3 linked regions of the Nothobranchius furzeri genome follow. The protein of the gene in region 1 interacts with the protein of each later gene in a pairwise test. Links are inferred from orthologs where the notes say so. Each region holds a gene or a part of one and is shown on either strand. Other genes may lie near its edges.

Evidence for each region. The genes of interacting proteins can lie anywhere in the genome.
Region 2: the proteins of cep63 (region 1) and ccni interact in a two-hybrid assay, tested with the Homo sapiens proteins (2 studies listed by BioGRID and IntAct). The link is inferred for Nothobranchius furzeri from reciprocal best matches to the Homo sapiens genes CEP63 and CCNI.
Region 3: the proteins of cep63 (region 1) and pcnx4 interact in a two-hybrid assay, tested with the Homo sapiens proteins (2 studies listed by BioGRID and IntAct). The link is inferred for Nothobranchius furzeri from reciprocal best matches to the Homo sapiens genes CEP63 and PCNX4.

What each region holds. Positions count from the first base shown.
Region 1 is NC_091756.1:60,714,867-60,719,383, reverse strand, and holds the start of cep63 (centrosomal protein of 63 kDa), read right to left. Parts: upstream 2,995-4,517; 5' UTR 2,842-2,994; coding exon 2,801-2,841; intron 2,701-2,800; coding exon 2,523-2,700; intron 963-2,522; coding exon 867-962; intron 788-866; coding exon 698-787; intron 629-697; coding exon 524-628; intron 413-523; coding exon 239-412; intron 1-238. Other genes in the region: im:7152348 (tripartite motif-containing protein 3), read left to right, coding at 4,443-4,517. UniProt on the Homo sapiens protein: Required for normal spindle assembly.
Region 2 is NC_091746.1:73,444,918-73,449,154, reverse strand, and holds the end of ccni (cyclin-I), read right to left. Parts: intron 3,463-4,237; coding exon 3,336-3,462; intron 2,792-3,335; coding exon 2,592-2,791; intron 1,346-2,591; coding exon 1,181-1,345; 3' UTR 885-1,180; downstream 1-884.
Region 3 is NC_091758.1:31,251,619-31,255,073, reverse strand, and holds the end of pcnx4 (pecanex-like protein 4), read left to right. Parts: intron 1-128; coding exon 129-232; intron 233-311; coding exon 312-1,405; intron 1,406-1,482; coding exon 1,483-1,669; intron 1,670-1,799; coding exon 1,800-2,051; 3' UTR 2,052-2,571; downstream 2,572-3,455. Other genes in the region: dhrs7 (dehydrogenase/reductase SDR family member 7), read right to left, coding at 2,799-2,840, 3,212-3,427.

The DNA of each region.
Region 1 (4,517 bases):
TTTTTTTTCTTTCAGCTCAAGTATTTACGGCTCTTTTCCTGCAGCTTTAATGACGTGATTGGATGGAAGCTGTAATAAAAGCCTAAATGAAATTCGTCCAAACTTTAGAAGACCTTTGGAGTCCAAACAGTGAGACTTTTATCTCCAGAGTTGTTACAAACACCTGGAATCTGATGGAAGATGTTTGGTATCCAGCTGAGAAGCCACACATCTCACATGTTCCTGTCGCCCTGCTAACCTGCTGCTCTCTCTGGGACTGTCCCAACAGCACCTCCAGCGGTCTGAGGCGATCCAGTTCCAGTTCCTGTGAGTGCAGGCTGGCCTGAGCCTTCTCCAGCTGTGCACGCAGATGCTGCACCTCTGAACAGCACTCCTTGTGTTCCCTCTCCACCCGCCCCGATGCCCATTGGCTCTGGAAAAACAAATATTACTGAAATGCAACAACAATGCAGCAGTCTTCCACACTTTTATACACTAAATATGTCTGGCTTCCTGAGTGAAAGTCATAAATGTGCTTTTTAACCTTTAAGTGAGCAAGCTCCTGGTTCAGGCTTTTATTCTGGAGCTCCAGTGTGGTCAGCTGGTTTTGGTACCGAGTTCGCTGCTGCTCAGAGCGCTGCTGATGCTTCTGCACCAATGTAAGAACGATTAATCAAATTCCAGGAGATGGAAATGCCAGGAAAATCTATTAGTTCACCTTTGCAAGCTCAGTCTCCTTTCCACCTCCACTTGTCTCCTTAAGCTGTTTGCGATGAAGCTTCTGGTAACTTCTCTTCAACTTGTCCAACTATAAGAAACGATGTTAACAATAAACATGATACAAGCGATATAGCTGAGTGCATTTGAGGAAAAACAGATGATCACACCTCTTCACGGAGTCTCTTTAGTTGTTGTTCGTACTTGGATACCAACTCTTGCCGATCCGTCTGAACGGCTTCAAGCTGCTTGTGAAGAAGTCCAATCTGCAACAAATACATGAGGCATAATACTTCTGTTTTTATGTGTTTTTTAGATGCCTCTAAGGCCTTTGACAGAGTCAATCATCAGAAATTATTCATCAAGCTACAAAACAGAGGGGTCCCTTCTTACCTAGTTAGGATTTTGCACTTCTGGTACTCTCATCAACTGATGCAGGTAAAGTGGGGGACAGAAGTGTCTGAACCTTTCTCCGTATCAAATGGAGTCAGACAAGGCGGGATTCTGTCACCTGTCCTTTTTAACCTGTACCTTGACGAGTTGTCTGTTACTCTGAATGCTAGTAAGACTGGATGCTTGGTGGGTGACCGACTGGTAAATCATTTAATATATGCAGATGACCTAGTCCTCATGTCTCCCTATAGCGCAGGCCTGCAGCAGCTGCTCAGGGCATGTGCTAAGTATGGTGAGCAATTTGACATCCTGTTTAACCCTAAAAAGAGTGTGGTTATGATTGCTGCTACTAAAGGGGACCTGAAGCTTAATTTTCCATCTTTTAACTTAACAAATCAGGTCCTGGAAGTGGTAAGCAAAGTAAAATATTTGGGGCACATTTTAAGAAGTGACCTCTGTGATGACGAGGACATTAAGAGGCAGTGTGGTAAGCTGTACATGCAGGCTAACACTCTGGCACGTAACTTTGGCATGTGCTCAGATCCTGTAAAAGTGTCCCTCTTTCGTTCCTTTTGTACTCCTCTCTATACCGCCCACTTGTGGTGCAACTATAGTAAGGTAGTAATGAAGAAGCTTCAAGTGGCTTATCAGGATGCTTTTAGAATCCTCATGAAGCTCCCTAGATGGACTTCGGCAAGTCACATGTTTGTTACGAGTAACATCCCAACTTTTCATGCGCTTCTGAGGCTCTTCATGTACAAATTCATCTGCCGACTGAGTTTGTCAGCTAACGCGGTTGTTAGAGCTCTGTCATCTTTATCTTACAGTGACACGAGGTACTCCTCAGTCCTTTTTAAACATTGGAGCAACTGCCTATATGGTTTGTAATTAGAATGTGTTTGTATTTTATTTTTTTATTTATTTTTTATTTTTTTTATTCTTGTTATGGACATATCCCTTGTCTGAAATAAAGTTTGATTGATTGATTGAATAGGTGATGGTGTTATTATGGGAATAGAGATAAAATGCTTCATGCCACAACTATTTACTGTCTCCTTCCTTACGGTTTAAAACATGTCCTAAAACCAACATCCTCACACATTTACATTTATTTTTGAAACATTTAATTGAATCTGCAGGAGGTTTTGTTTTGAGAGTACAACGAATCTTCATAGCAGAGGCTTTCTGATCATTTAAGGAATAATTTAGTAAGTCTCCAACATTAGGTGAGGCCAGAAATGGAGACAGTGGCCATAAAAACTGTTTTAGCAGGAGAGTCCATGTTTGGAATTGGAAATGGGATGGAAAAATGTTACCTTCAAAATGCTGCATGTCAAAATAAGGGCATGCTTGCTTTTTTATTACAAGCTTCTGTGTTGATTAAATTACTTTTGTGATTCTTTTGAGCAAAAAAGGATGAATCGTCACTTCACCTCCAGATCCCTCCGTTCAATGGTAGTCTTGGAGGTTAAAAGCTCTTCTTCTCCACTGGTGACCCTGAGCTGCAGAGCGTGGAGCTCAGCCTCCCACTCCCTCTTCTGATGATTGATCATAATGTCAATCTGTCTCATCAGCTCCTGCAGCTCAGGCTCGCATGAGGACAGGACAGAGCTGCGTAGCAGAAGATTAAAGCGTGTTATCAACTTCATTTGTGTAAACACGCATCTAAAGATGGCTGACTTAGCCTCACGACAAACCAAACGTCTGTTACCTTATATCAGGATTCTGTATTGATTCCAAAGAAACCTCCATCTCGTTCAAAAATGGCGCCGTCTGTCCCCTCTGCGCGCTAAGGTGCTACAACACGGTGGACTCTATCCAGATTGTCCTTACAAGCTAAGACCGGCACGTTGTAGAGTATAAACAAGTTTGATGACATCGCTACGTCAACAACACTATTCGGCGTTCAACTGCTTTTCTTTACAAAGAATTTCCGGTTCCAAGGCGGTACATCCGCCTTCTAACTGTGACCTCATTACGTTTTACGTAGGCAACATTTTAAAAAATGTAATTTATTATTTGGTCTTCGACTTTAAAAATAAGGTTTGGGAGGGAAAATTAAAGAAAAAACAAACACATTAATCTCACGGCTTAAGATTCAGATGTCGTGTAACGTGAAGGTACGTCTGAAATTCCATGAAATTAGACATTCTATTATAGTGTGTAAAAATACAATAATACTTTTAAAACAGTACATTTACAGAAAAACTACATATCACTTTAAATTAACTTTAAATTATTTTATGTGTCTTTCCCGGACACGTGGCTCGTTGGTCTAGGGGTATGATTCTCGCTTCGGGTGCGAGAGGTCCCGGGTTCAAATCCCGGACGAGCCCATAATTTTTAGCATGGTCATTTAGAATGTGATTTGAAAATTCGGCGGTCTGCTGTCCGAACATATTGGTCGCTGTGTCGCTGCGTGAGTGTTGTATAAATTATCTGCTTGGCCATGGCTAGGGAAGAGGGATATCATGATAGCTTTTCCGTTTTTACCGCAATCCCGCGAGCAAGGTGTCATCGTGAACCGATGCTTCAACAGCACAAATGTCAAGAAAACATGAAACATTTATTACCTACAATATACATATGTTCCTTTAACACATCAGCATTTTGTTGGTAGAGGGGTATGATTCTCATATTGAATGCGAGAGACTCCGGGTTCAATTCCCAGATGTGCTAAGTTTTCTTTATATGTCTTTTGAGAAACATTTTATCAGGATGTGTTATGGTTAAGGAAAAAGCAAAACACATCACCTACTTTGGAACGTTCATCAACCCCTCCTTTACCACTCCCCCTTCCTCACCCATCTCTCCACCTGCCTTCATTCAAACTAAACAAAGAGCGTTTCCTCCGCTCTGCATCCCCAGCTGTTCATGGGAGGGCTTTTGGCTGTTTCGCCCCCACCAACGCAACAGACGCTCTAGCAGGAGGCAGGCAAGCTGCTCTCTGACATCATTCACAGCACAGACACCGAGCTGCACAAACCTAAAAGAAAACACCGCAGATACACACATCACCTGTAAGTAATCTGTTTTATTACAAACTATTATCTGACCATGGCTGTTTTGTGTTTCACTCAAGCTTATAAAAAAACCAACAGCATCCAACTTTAGGATTTAAGTGATTCATTTTGATGGTATTTGAAATGAACATAGAATTTGGTTCTAAACAAATTCTTCCCTTTTAAAACGGTTTCTAATACTGAAGATATTTGATTGAAAGACAGACAGCGTTGGAACTTTGACATCAGCTCTGACATCTTTCCTATCGACAGACTTTTAGATCGGAACTCACTCGGATCATCTCAGAGGACTCTTTTTTTTGTGATCTTCTGGGGTCTACCAGCTTGACGATGGTTTTGTGCGACGATGGAGAGTGCAGCGTCTGCCTCTTGCCATATTCCCGCATGGACAAGATCCCACGAGTG
Region 2 (4,237 bases), on another chromosome or scaffold:
GAAGCACAGCTGTTGAAGACTTTATTGCATTTGAGCCCCTCCATTTGGACTTCAGTAAGTCAAGTCGACATATTTCATGTTCAGAATGCACGCTGTCCACCGAGGTGGACATGTAATAAATTATTTGTAAATTACCAAAATGCTACAAAAAATATTTGTTGAAATTTGTTTCATTCACACCTAAAAATAAATAAAAAAATTGTTTAAAAAAATCATGGTTGAAGATTTCATAATTCGTGCATCAGAGGGTTAGAGAAGTGTTTCAGAAACAAACACCATTGGAAACATATGTGACCTTTAGTCTGGATATTCTCCACAGATGTGTCTTAATGATGAAAACAGACTCTGGTTGTAGTCTTTATTGTGGTGGAGGATGTGGAGCCGTCGCCAGCAGCTCCTTCAGCAGGAACAGAACTTTTTACACGGAGGAAAAACATTTTAAACATCAGGGAAGATCGTCAGCATCCTAAACTCAGACACAAACATGGAAAATAAACTCACTACAGCTTTTGTTTGCTTTCAGAATCAAGCCTCTGCAGCATTTTAATGTAAAAACGTGGTTAGCATCATTAGCTGTTAGCTGCGATTTCAGCGAAGTAACTAAAAGCTGCTTGTGGATTCTTTAAGGTAGAAACTAAATCAGAACTTGAGCTGAAGTCTGGCAGCAGGAGCAGCAGGAGGAGCGGCGTCAGGAACCCAGACGGGTCCTAATCAGAACACAAATGGCACTAAAGTTTGTTCCCGACTGAACAGATTCAAACACTCAGCTACTGACTTGTTGGAGACGAATCAGAAACAACAGATAAATAAACAGGTCAGTGAAGGCAACATCGACGTCCATTTTAAGGGAAACTTTTTCTGTTTGTTTTTAATTGTTTTATTAGTGTTTAACATAATTAATAGTAGCAGAAAGAGGTTTTTTTTTTTTTTTACATTTTGGGATGTTAAAATTTTTTTGTGCTCTGTTTTCCTGCTGAGGGGGATGGTGGGAAGCCAGCTGAACAGCTCTGGGTCATTCAGAACCAGAACCAGCCCAACAGAACCGGACAGCAACAGCGGTTACGGGCGGGAAACGTCAAGTCAAGCTGCCGTTTTACTGAGTTTATGGGATAAATAGTTTCTGTGACTTTGCTGCAGAAGCTGTTCTGTGGTTGGAGGTTCTGTGGAGGTGGTTCTGGTTCTACGAGAATCTGACCGGCTGCAGAGGAGGACAAGAGGAGGAGCCGTCTGCTCCTCCTTCACCTCCCCCTCCTGATACCCCCACCTCTTGGATTGCAGCGGTGGTGTCCTCGTTGTAGAGACGCTTGATGCCATCGTAGAAGTCGTCCACCTCCATCTGCTCCACCTGGAAATGGAGAAGGGGTCTCATTTATCAAACAGGGCGTAGAATCCTGACTAAAACCGTACTTAAGCTCAGCTAAACAAATGTACTTACGCCAAGCAGGTTTGTGATCTATCAAACACGGAGTACGCACAGCTGCACGCAGTCTAAACTATCTAGAACGTTTCTCAGCTGCATTTTAGTCGCATCCCGCCCTCGCCACGCCCACGTACTGCCACATATAGTCAATGCAAAGTGCCTTGTGGGTCTCATGCATACACATAAGCCGGCTGTTGCAGCGCTCTGCCAATGACATGGCGACCGTAGATCAAGGCAGATCAAGGAAGCGCTATTTCACAAGCAGAAGTTGAGGTGAGGTGGAGAAATGAAAGGAAGTGCTTTTGCAAAACAAATAAGAGAAAATCCACGGAGTGGCACAGCGTTGCTGAAGCCGTCAATGTTGTGAGTTCTTCAGAGAGATCTGTGGCGGATATAAAAAGAGTGGTCTAATCGGGGTTAGATCCCCAGACTCCCGGGTGAAAGTCACGCGCACTAACCAGTCAGCCAAATGGAGATCTCCCCTGTACAGGTAGCCAGGTCGCGTGATCAATCGGGTAACAGTGACAGGACACACACCGTCACAGACGCATGATGTTCTGTCTCAATCTGTCCCCCTGCTGATATTCTGCATTCCGTATTCTGCACTTCAGGCTGTGTGTGTGTGTGTGTGTGTGTGTGTGTGTGTGTGTGTGTGTGTGTGTGTGTGTGGTTTTTATGCAGCATCTGTTTACGAACACATTATCGTGGAATTGTATTTTGAAATGCTTTATTTTGTTAAATTTACCGGCCTGCGTCTTAAGTCCAGGTTTGACTTCCTGCCAGAATTGACGCGGTTCACCCGCGGCTCGCGAATAAAATAGAGCAGACGCCAAAACGATCGCTGCACGGCGCGGGCTGGAGCGCCGGCGCACGGCGGCCCATGTGGCCTATAGAGTAGGATGACAAGGGCGCAGAATGAAGGTGGTCCCCGTTTGGCGGCGCTCCGGCAGCCGGCGTGTCCCCGGCGTAAGCCAGGTCCTTAGTCAGCTTAAAGTTTTCCTTCATAAATCCCAAAGTTTGCGTGGAAAGTTGCTTATGCAGTTTTCCGACCCCGTTTTGTGCGTAAGCAAGCTTGATAAATGAGGCCCCAGGTGTTTGGTGTGTGTGTGTGTGTGTGTGTGTGTGTGTGTGTGTGTGTGTTTCTCCCTCCCAGGGGGAGGAGCAGCGTTACCTTTCTCTTGGTGGAAGCTTTGCAGCGCAGCGTGATCCTCTGCAGCTGGTTGAGGCGTTTGGGTGAGAGCAGAGCTGGGATTTTGCTCTCAGAGGAGGAGATGAAGCTCCTCTCCTCCCCAGCAGCAGCTGCTTGAGGCTGGACGGCGGTGGAGCTGAGGGTGTGGTCCCTGGAAGTCTCAGCGAGGGAGGTGACAGTTCCTGGAAACAAGGATGATGGAGACTTGAACAGAAATGTTAAATGAGCTCCGGCCCCTCTAGGCTAGTCGGGGTGCAGCCAGGATCCACGTCCTAAAACTACCCACTTCCTAACCTTCAGAGCAGTCTGCAGGTAAATACCAGCTAGACGAAGGCGGCGAGTTCTCGGATCAACACCCTGATCTGAGGAGACTTGTGGAGTCCACCTCCACCAGGTAAGTAAACGCAGAAACATTCATCATAATAAATCAAATCTGAGACCGGCTGCCCTGTAGGTCCAAACGCCTCTTCCCGATGATTCCAGTCTGGTAGGGATCGGATTTGCACTGCTGGAGAATCACTTCCTGCTAATGAGGACTTCTACAGGAAGTGCTGTCTCAGGACAACAATGGACATTAGGAAAGACCCCCCCCCCCCCCCGAGCAAACGGACACAAACAGCAGCGCTAGGGCTGTCCTAACACCTTCCTGCTCACGTCAGAGCCATCCTCAGGGGTTTGGACACAACATTACTGGAACCTGCACCAGACTCATGAGGTGACACTTACCCAGCGGGGAGGTCGGATTCGGCAGGGGTCGGTAGATGTAGACGGTGTTAGGAGGCAGGGAAGCTCTCGGTGTGGACAGACTACGTGCGACTAGCTCTCTGCTACGGATCAACTCAGAGCTGTCGATCTGAACAAGGGAACAACCACAAGGAAGTGTTTTAGAAGCTGGAGAAGGGATGGATGCAAGTCCTGGTTGCCTTGGTAACACCAGGAGCTTTCAGAGAAACGTTAGGATCAAATTAAGACTTATCACAATGAAGCTATTAAACATTTCTGTGTTCTTCCCAGGACAGCCAGGCTGCAGCGACGGTACGTTACGTACGCAGAAGAACAGGAAATCACTCGTTCACATGCGTCTGGTCTTCATATCTCATTAAATCTGTGTTTAATACATTTATCAGCTTTTTTCGCTCCACTTGTTTGGGTTTGGTTTGTACCCGAGGCCCTGGGGTTCACGAAGTCCAGCAGCTTTATGTTTTACAAGGATCACTGTAGAAAATCAGAACCAGTAAAAGACGTCATTACAATAACAACTTAAACCGGTTTAAACCAGCTCAGTGGCCCAGTGGTAGGGTCCGCCCCGGGATTAGGAGATGGGGGTTTAAATCCCGGTCGGGTCACACCAAAGGCTTTAAAAATGGGAGCCCAATGCCTTCCTGCTCGACTCTCAGCTTTAAGGGGTTGCATTCGGGGGTCAAACCACCAAGTAGTTCCCGAGCGCAGCCACAGCTGCAGCTCAGTGCTGCCCCCATGGGGATGGGTCAAAGGCAACTTCACCTGTGTGATGATGATGACTTTAAATAAAACCTGTTTAACTCTCCGGTTGAACTTCTCTAAACACTCATCAGAAAAAGGAGAAGTTAGACGTCTCTCTGCTATAAAACCATTTCAGCTCCCCCGAG
Region 3 (3,455 bases), on another chromosome or scaffold:
GCTGGGACATTCAGTCTCACACAGAGACAAACAGTTCTTTCTCTATATGAAGTTTTCCCTTTTCGTGACAATTTTATACGTCTTTATATTTCGATGTTTTCTTAATGTGTGACTTCCTCCGTTTGCAGGTTCTTTAGCTCCTGGCTCTCATTTTCTTGGACGCTTTCAGGACCGTATGGTTTGGATAATGATCCTGGAGAGAGGATATGGCTACTGTACTGTCAACATTAAGGTGTGTTGTCTCAGTCTTCCTGTGTCTAACAGACGTACTGTCAGATCGTATACTGTAAGGAGTTGTGGTTTTCTGACAGGGTCTGGAGCTGCAAGAGACATCTTGCCACACTGTGGAGGCACGGAGGGTAGATGAAGTTTTCGAGGCTGCTTTTGAGCGACCCGAGCGTCTCGGCTTCACCCAGGGCTTTAACCTGCACTGGGGTAACGCCCTCACTCCTTGTGCTGCACTTGCGGTGCGAGCGTACTCCGATGCCCGGAACGTGCTCTCTGGTATCATTGACTCTCATGAAAACTTGAGGAAACTTCAGGATGACTTCATGAAAGCCCTGATCTGGCTGCTCCTGCGGTACTGTGTGCAGAAACATCGAGGATTTCTGTGGCGCGGTGAGGAGGTGTCCGCGAGTGGAGGCACAAAGTCCCAGTCTTCACAGTTCGCTCAGACAACCTGCAATCAGCCATTTGAGGCTGTTGTGGTCGAATCCAACCTGTCTTCTTTCAGGTTCCGACAGGAAAGCTCTAGTGGGACTTCTTTTGGAGACTGGTCAGATGAGGATGACTTGTTTGGACCACAACCCCCCAGACGGACAGTGGCATTAGTCACCGCAGAGGCCCAACCTGGACACTCGGCCCTGCAGATAGGAGCCTCTTTGCCTGGCTCTGTAGAAATGGATAGTCTTTTTGAAAACATGGCTCTTTCTGCCCTGCAGCCACTGCAGCCCCTGGGACTCAGCATTGGGATGCCAGCAGTAGATAAAAGCCGAAACACGGAGGTCCTCAAAGAGAGTTCTCATTTAAACTTCAGCTGTCCTCAGTCTGAGATATTTAGCCTTCCATCAGGGTGGAGGACAGCACCGTTACTGCCATCTCGCTTGCTGTCTCTTAGGCCCCTGTTTCCTGAGGAATGGTTTCGGTTTACCTTGGGACGCTTTGGACTGGCTGTGCAGGAGGAGACTTCGGCGGACATGACCAAAGCCCTGAAAGAGGATGAGGTTTTAAAAGAACTACATGCTAAAGTTGCACTTTCTTGTCTCATCTTGGTGGGGGCGGAGTCTGCCTTCACCAGCCCTAGTTACATTTACAGACTCTACTGTGGAGATGTACCGTGGACCGAAGGACTCGACTGGCTGTCCTCACGTAAAGAACTCTACCAGCTCACACTTCAGGCATTCAGGTAAACCTGCTCTCCACATTTTAATGACCGATCCATGGAACTTAAAAAAAAATCTGCTCGCTTTGATTTGCCTCCAGGTTTAGTTTCAAGCTGCTGTTTGATCAGGCGAGCCTCGGGCCGATGGAATCCCCTGAGGAGTTGTTCAGCACTTTAGAAGAATATGAAAGGGACTGGTACATTGGCCTGGTTACAGAGAAAGGCTGGCATGACGGTGTCCTTCAGGAGAAGCCTTTCCTTTTCTCTCTGGGGCATGATCTCACTATGGTAAGTGAACATGGTCAAGTAAAGATTTACAGCGTTGATGGATTACATGCAGTGCACATGAAAGTGATTTTGCTCAAGTGATGACTTGAAGATCAGTGAAATATCTGCGGAATGACGTTTTCGTCCACAGGGTACCTACACAGGACGAGTCCTGTCCCTGCAGGAGCAGCTGATACAGGTGGGCCGTCTGAACGGAGAGGGGGTTCGAGGCCAGTGGGCAAACCTTTCGTGGGAGCTGTTGTATGCGACTAATGATGACGAGGAGCGGTACAGCATACAAGCTCACCCCTTTATGCTTAGAAATCTAACTGTTCAGGCAGCCGATCCTCCTCTAGGTTACCCAATTTACTCATCTGCCCCTCTTCACTTTCCCTGTCTCTGACCCGCCACAGTTCTTAGTTAAGAGGGGAACCCCTTTTTTTAACATTCATTAATAGTCTGAAGAAACCTCCACCTGCGCTTGAGCTTTACTCTCTAAACTGTTGACTCACGAAAACCCACTTTTTACACACTTTTCAGAATTTTATCTACTTCAGCTCCTAATGTGGTCGACGTCTTTAAACAGAACGTGATGAATTAGCTGGTCTGTAAACCAGGAAACCAAAACGAGTTAACCTAAATTAAACCCAACAAATCCATTTCCTGCTCTACTTTTTAGGTTTCACACTCCTCAAATTTTAATTTCTATGTCCAGATAAAGGTACAAGATGCTGAATGTTTTGTTACGATATCAAGGATGTGCCTTGAGTATGTCTTGCTCTGTGTACGATGATTAGTGCTATTGTTTTGTTTACAACTCTGTTGTTTACAGTTAAAAATTCAATGAATATGTTGTTTCTTGTATAAAATGTTCATTTTTATATGTGTGCTTGTAATAAAATATGTTGACAATAACAACTTTACCATTTTTAACTAAATGGACAGAAAATTGATCCAAACTAAATTTTATTGTTCAAGCAAAAGATCAGTACAAATGCATCATTCTTACAGCCGTTAGTCTTTGCAAGCATTCAAATTCAGTGTCAGATGTTAATTCTTTGAATTGTAAAGACATGGATAGACAGAAGTTTTCAAACTTACTCTAAAAATCAGAAAACATTCACAGTTAGGAATGCAGTGAGATCCCTGTTCAGGAGGTCTTTGGTTTAGTGAAGTACGCAGAGTCTGCATCCTGCAACAGAAAAGGCTGGTTGTCAGCTCTGGCTTGATGTTACGGAAAACCAAATCATTTTTATTCAAGGATGAAACGTGAATGAGAGATTTTTTAATCTTGAATAACTGTGTGGTGACCCCTGACATTGCTTTCACTACAGAGGCCTCAATGTTAAGAAATACTGTTTATTTGGTAAGACTTATTTCATTCCCCCCCTTTGTGAAGCACGTGAGGCCCGTTTTTGACTGGTAGGAAGGAACAGCACCTTCCAACATGGCCCCCAGCTGTCCCTGTCCAGCAGAGGCCACTTGGTGTAGTTATCAGTCCAGTCACACATTGAGAGTGCAGCTTCGGTTTTTCTTAATCATTGCAGGCAAAGATGCACTTACCAGACCAGCTTTAAAGTTTTGTACCCTTTTCCTGCCCATCATGTTTGTGATGGCCCAGGCAAACGTGGGTGCATACTGCCAGGCGTAGTACATGGAGAGGAAGGGCTGCTGAGCGATCCACATTTCCTTAACGCCATTGGCAATTCCCACCAGCATTAAATGCACGCAGCGACTTGTGGGCATCTTGTGCTCTTGGCTCCCAGCTAAGGCCACAGGCTTTTAAGAGAAAGCCGAAAACCGAAGT